Linked DNA regions of Rattus norvegicus. The protein of the gene in region 1 interacts with the protein of each later gene in a pairwise test. Links are inferred from orthologs where the notes say so. Each region holds a gene or a part of one and is shown on either strand. Other genes may lie near its edges.

What was found.
Region 2: the proteins of Atxn1 (region 1) and Psmc3 interact in binary tests that used the Homo sapiens proteins (3 or more experiments, as listed by UniProt). The link is inferred for Rattus norvegicus from reciprocal best matches to the Homo sapiens genes ATXN1 and PSMC3.

The regions. Positions count from the first base shown.
Region 1 is NC_086035.1:19,331,742-19,335,392, reverse strand, and holds part of Atxn1 (ataxin-1), read right to left. Parts: intron 2,091-3,651; 5' UTR 1,928-2,090; coding exon 89-1,927; intron 1-88. UniProt on the Homo sapiens protein: Chromatin-binding factor that repress Notch signaling in the absence of Notch intracellular domain by acting as a CBF1 corepressor. Binds to the HEY promoter and might assist, along with NCOR2, RBPJ-mediated repression. Binds RNA in vitro.
Region 2 is NC_086021.1:97,490,557-97,493,589, reverse strand, and holds the end of Psmc3 (26S proteasome regulatory subunit 6A), read right to left. Parts: coding exon 3,033-3,033; intron 2,927-3,032; coding exon 2,778-2,926; intron 2,073-2,777; coding exon 1,976-2,072; intron 1,830-1,975; coding exon 1,684-1,829; intron 933-1,683; coding exon 851-932; intron 746-850; coding exon 635-745; 3' UTR 566-634; downstream 1-565.

The DNA.
Region 1 (3,651 bases):
ACCCTACCTGCCGAAAGCAATCACCTTCTCAGGAGATGATAGAATGGGGGTAGGGGCCCCCTACCTGTATGACCCTGGTGAGGGTTACCTGGGCTCGGTGTTCACCAACAGCAAATTGTATCACGGCCACACCGGGGCTGTGGCTGTCCTCGATCCTCTCCACAGTACTGGAGTCGATCTTGAGGTCATTGCTAATCTCTGCACTCTGGATGAAATCCTCTGTCTTCAGATCCTCTACCTTCTTCAGCTCCCCGTTGGCCAGCTGGATGATGGAGCCTTTCATGAAATATGGCGGCAGCGTGGGTGATGCCGCGGCAGGGGATGCCACGGACTGTACCACCGGCAGGTGGATCTGGGCCTGCACCATGGCTGGGTAGGCTGCCTGGGTGACCAGAGCCTCTGGGTTGAAGTTCTCGCTCTTGGGCAGGGCGGTGGTGACAAACGTGTGAGGTACTGCAGCAAACTGGGGCGATGACGTCACTATGGCCGAGGCTGCCCCAGGTGTGTCCATGTCAGGGCTGCCCACTGGGATGAGCAGGGGCTGGGTACCTGGGATCACCAGGTGCTGGGGCAGACCACCAGCATAGGTGATTGCTTGCTGCTGGCTACTCAGATAGCCGATGACAGGAGGTTGAGCGCCAGCATAGAAGGCCGTGGCTGGTAGGCCCACCGGGAGAGGCTCTGATGCGCTGTGTGTGGTCTGAATGACCGTGTGTGGGGACAGCGCGTAGGACCTGTGGCCGGGCTTCCCTAGGTGCAAACCGCTCTTGTCATTGAGGGTGGATGGGGAGGCCTCTCGATGTGTGGCCTGCTGTGTCTCCAGGTCGGCTGAGGGTGTGCTGCTGTTGGGCAGGACCATCACAGATCCACGGACCCCGGAGGTATCACGACTGCTGTAGTCTGCTGGGCTCGGGTGGACCACCACATGCCTGGACTCATAGGGGTGAGGCACTGACTTGCTGCTCGTCTTCCCCAGGCTCAGCTCCACAGAAGATGACGCCCCATACCTCCGGCTTTTCTCCATCTCCCCATTGAGGACCTCCTTGGCCTGCATAGCCTGCTGCAACCTGCTGCTTTCTGCTTTTTTGGTGGACTCTCGAGGAACAAAGTGGCCTCCGGCGTCACTGTATTGCACGACCACCTGGGATGAAGGCCCCAGGGTGAGCGTGTGCGGGATCATCGTCTGATGGGGATGGAGGTGGACCGGGATGGGTGGAGATGTTGCCCGCCCGGAGCTCTGTGGAGAGCTGGAAATGTGAATGTACTGGTTCTGCTGGGTAGGTGGAGGGGACCCCGGGTTGACTAATCCCGCAGCCCTGCCGAGGTGCTGCTGCGGAGGGGGCTCAACCTTGTGTCCTGGTGCCTGGCTCAGACTGCCCATGTTGGCCAGCAGGGTGGAATATGCCTCCAGCTGGGAGCGCTGTGATGGAGTGGTGGCCCCTGCAGCCGAGGCCACCGCACTGGTGACTGGGTTGCCTGGTGGGGAGATCAGCTGGGAAGGGATAAAGCCCGCGTAAGGCCCACTATACTGGGAGGACCCAATGAACTGGAAGGTATGTGATAGGTGGGCGTACTGCACAGGAGACACCGGCGTCCCTGACTGAGGAGGAGGGTACACGGTGGGCAGCGTGTTGGCTGTGGGGACCGACCTGGGGGCACTGGGTGGGGAGTAATCCAGCCCTGCGGACAGTGCTTTATGTAAACCCATTCCTTGTAAACCATGTTCCCCGGAAGTCCCTGCTGGCCCGTGCCGCCCACCCCCGTGGCCGCGGCTGCCAGGGGTGCTGGGGAGCCATGCCACACCCTCCACGCAGTGGTTGTCGCTGGGCAGAGCAGTGGCCTTCTCCTCGGAGGGCCGACTGGTGGCGGGGATCTCACGTTTCTTGGGAGGCAGGCATTCATTGCTCCGCTCTTGGTTAGATTTCATTTTTCGCCGTCCCCCCTCCACGGTGGCTGTTTCACTGTCTGGCTGGCTCTGGTTTTAGTCTGATAAACAGAGAGTCACATTGGATTTCTGTAGGGGATCCAGGCCCTTCATGAGGAATCATCTCCCCGTGGGTTCTCTAGGCTGGCAGTAGCAGCTCCGGATTCTGAGAAGGAGAAGAGAGCAGGAGTCGGGGGATAGGGACAGGAGAGAGAGAAGAGAGGGGGAAAAAAAATCAAAACATCAGCTCTGGGGGAGAAACCTCACCAACCAATCAACCCACCCACCAACAAAAACACTATTACCAACAAGATTAAGAGGAGACCCTCTTAGTTGGAATTGCAAAAGCAGATTATGGCCCAAGTCTAAAGAGCCAGTAAGAATCAAGAGAGTGACGAAGTTTAAGGGTGTCCTTTTCTTAAACATTTGCTTATTTGATTTATTTGTTTGTGTGCGTGCCTAGGAGAGTTTATGCACACCATGTATATGTGCCAGTGCCTATAGAGATCACAAGAGGGCGCTGTGTCTCCTGATACTGGAGTTGCAGGCAGTTGTGACTCACAGTGCAGGTGCTGGGACCCTGACTTGGGTCCCCTACAGGAGCCGTAAGCAGCTGTCTTGACCACCAGCCATCTCTCCTGCCCAGATGTGCTTTCTTAATAAACTATAGAGTAGGCAGCCCAGCCAAACATTTCTCCGCCCCTTCCGTCCTCCTCCAGCCTTTCTTCTTTTCCTAGAGGGTGGGTGATCACTTTTTCTTTTCTTACACCATCTCCTGTTGCTCAGGCTATCTTTGGGTAGATGATGCATTTCTGTAAATCGTTTTTACAGAAAGGTTGCTACCTAATTCCCCATCACGACTTTATCTTCGTCCAGGGAGGCCCCAAGAGCTGGGCTTTGTGAAGGAGCACGTTTGGAATGGAGATGCCCAGTGAGTCTTTGGGTTTTTTCTTCAGCTTCAACGACAGAACCAATACTCTTAAGATTTCACCTGGCTACAGGGCTACACTTCATCTACGGTAGTGCCCCCTATTCTAACGGTGCCTCCCACAATGTACCCATGTACCCCAACTCAGCAGCCGTATTGGAAAACAATTCTTCTCACTATAAAGTCTCCAGGGAGTTCCAAGTACAGTCATTTATAAGGAAACACTGAGACATCTTTGAGACAGTTACAAAAACTACTCTGTTTTTTTTTTTTTTTTAATAAACCAAACACAGTACGTAAGATGAGCCCTGACATGTTGGCTCATGTGAGCCTAGCACTCTGAAGGCTGGGGCAGGAGAATGACCACCAACTTGAGGCTTCCTTGTGCTACGATATGAAACGCTGTCTATAAAAACGGTGCATAAACAAGCACATGCATGAGTGAGGGAAGTAGAGCCAAGGCTTTGAAAGTTTCCTTAATAAAAGTTAGGTGCTTGCTTTACCCATGAGCCTTCTCTTCCTTGTTCGTCTCTGAATAGTCTCTCCCCACCATCTCCTCCCCTTCTCTCTGGCAGGGGCCTGTTCATTATGAGCAGGAGAGGAGATATTTGCCAGACAAACCGCAACCACGTGTCCAAGCCCAGCCACGTAGTGATGCCAGGAACTCTTATGGAGCGATCCCCGTCTTGGTCTCACGGAGTCACGGAATTCTGAGTCACCACCCCTGTGTGAACAATGTCTACCTGGCATGGGGCAGGCTGCCAAGGTGAGCAGTGTGTAGCATGCTAGCAGCAGGAGA
Region 2 (3,033 bases), on another chromosome or scaffold:
ATGGAAAAACATGTGGTCCAAAAGCCAGGACATTGGGGCATTAGTCAAGAACTAAAACCCTAGGGCTGGAGAGATGGCTCAGCGGTTAAGAGCACTGACTGCTCTTCCTGAGGTCCTGAGTTCAATTTCCAGAACCCACATGGTGGCTCACAACCATCTGTAATGAGATCTGACGCTCTCTTCTGGTGTGTCTGAAGACAGCAACAGTGTACTTATATATAATAAATAAATCTTAAAAAAAAAAAAACCTAAAACCCTAAATGTTGGTTTCAGAAGACAGTAAGAACTGGAGTACCAATGCGAAATGGGCCCTTCCTTCTTGACTCAAAGTAGGTCAGAGCTATAGCAATGAACAGTGGAGAGAGACGGAAGGAGACTGTGGGAGGAGGGACTGGGGAGGACTCAGGCAACAGCTGTGCCCTGCACCTCCCTGCCATAGGGCCTTATCCAGACAGCCACCCCCCATGGCCACCTACAGGATTTTTGAGGCTGTAGCTCCCGAGGAAAAGGCCTTCTCATATATTCTGCCCCCACCCAGAGTCCACGGAGGCTGAGAGAGACTGGTGGCAAAGAACAAAAACCCCCTTTATTATCAACCGTAGCCCCCGGACCAGCAGACAGACTAGAGGTGTCCCTAGGCATAGTACTGCAGGTTGGCTTTCTTCTTGGCCTGCACCTCCAGGATGCCCTCCATGTAGTCCTCGTGAGTGAGCTCCGTGGCACCCCTGCGCAGTGCGATCATACCCTGCAGCCAGGACAGATATGATCCAGAATGCCTCCCTGCACCCCTGAGCTACCCAGGGAAAGGGCAAGGCTTGACTCAGCCCACCCACCCACCCTGAGCACTCACCGCCTCCACACACACGGCCTTGCACTGGGCCCCATTGAAGTCATCAGTGCAGCGAGCCAGCTCTTCATAGTTCACATCAGGACTGGAGAAAGGACAAGACACCAGAGCTTGATTAGTCATGGAGAGCGAACAGCAAAGGGAAGGAGTCCTATGCACCCATGAAACAATAAAATCAACTTGCTTCTGCTGGCAGGCAAGTCTTTATCCACCCTGACTTTTCTTCTAGTATAAAGAGAAGAAAGGAGCCAAAGGTAAATGAGATCCTATGTATAGGATCTATACATAAACCAGCCTTCTAGAACCCTGCATCTGAGATCCCAGGAAGCAGGTTTGCCTGAGGCTGGGAACATGGGGTTATATAGACAAAAGACAGTATGATTCCTGATGAAGCCATGCATCAGCCAGCACAATGCAGCTGCCCATCATCTGCCCTCATGTGCCAAGCACTGTGCCTAAGACATCACCATGGCTAAATCTCAAACTGGAATGATTTATCCTCAACTTTCAAAAACAAAACACAGGTCACGTGCTGAAAGTTGTATAGATCTGAGTTCAGATCATCTATCTGGTCCTGGTTACATGCTCCTAAGCCATGCTTGGGCTGTGTCCATCTACTGGGCTGCGAAGGCCTATGTGTCTTCAATGGGAGGATGGGGCACAGGTGACTTTGAGTACCACAGCACCCAGGAGGGTCTGAGCCCCAGCAAAACTCTACCTCAGGCAATGGGCAGAAATGGAGGCTGTGTGCATGCATGGGGGTGGGGGATCGGAGGCCGGGAACTAACAGTACAGAGTCATGAAAATTGAAGGCTGAAAAAGCTGTTGCAGCTGACCTGACGTTCATCTTCCGTGAGTGGATCTGCATAATTCTGGCTCGGGCCTCCTCATTGGGCATTGGAAACTCAATCTTGCGGTCTAGGCGTCCTGAGCGGAGCAGGGCAGGGTCCAGGATGTCCACCCTGTTAGTGGCTGCAATTACCTAAGGAAGAGGGGAAGCAGCAACCTGAACTGAGGAGCAGGACATCCAACACAAGCACACATCACAGCAGCAACAGGAGGCAGCCCGGGGAGAAGGAGAGCCCGAGCTGTCAGTACCTAAGCCGATGGAGTCAGCCCTGCACTCACCTTCACTTGGGTGTTGGGCTGGAAGCCATCCAGCTGGTTCAGGAGCTCTAGCATGGTCCTCTGCACCTCTCGGTCCCCTGCCTTTTCACTGTCGAAGCTGCGGTGCACAGGAGCCCGAGATGCCAGTGACACCACGGCATAAGCACAGGCTATTCCAACTTGTCCAGGGAAATGGTTGCCTCAACTTGAGGCTCCCAGCCCAGGGACTGGTACAGAGAAAGGGTCACCAATAATTAACTGCAGCATTCAAAGCTTGCAGAGGCTTCTGGGATCAGTGCTGGGCTAGTGACAAACAGTGAGCACAAACAGCCAGGCTAGGGCTGTGGCTCTGAGCAATACATGATCCCCAGAACTTACCCAGAAATATCTACAACCAGGAACCCAGACAGCCAACCCCAAGCAGGGGTTCTTGAGTCTATAAACAAGGGCCAGGCAACCACTCAGTGAATAGAAAGAGCTGAAAACCAATCGGGTACTGGGAGGCGGCCTGGGTTGGGAGTGGGTAGAGTGAGACTGAAAGAACAGGCTATACAGATCTAGCATTTGTGCTAAGAAGCAATAGGGTGGCCTAGAGGTGCTTTTTAGTAGTGTGTGATGACAGACTTTGAAACGAGAGGTGCCAGTTTTCTCTCTTGAGAGCAAGCTGTCAGCTATGAGGAATTTAGGAGGCAGAAAAACAGAAGTGTTACTAACCAGGGGAGGGACCGAATGGGAGAGAACTGGGATGTAACATAGCTGGGAGGTGAGCTCCTAGCTCACACCTCACCCCAACAACCCTTGCAAGTCCCCGGAACTCCCTTACCGCTTGGTGCCAATGGCATCCAACTCATCTATAAAGATAATAGATGGTGCCTTCTCCTTGGCCAGGGCAAAAGCATCACGGACCAGCTTGGCGCCATCTCCAATAAACATCTGCACCAGCTGAGGGCCTGCCAGCTTCAAGAAGGTGGCCTGAGAGAAGGGACAGATCAGATCAAAGGCACACGAGGCTCAAAAAGTCTTCAAGCCTGTTTCATACAGCTTCAAGTACCATCCCCATGCCCCATTCCTCACACACC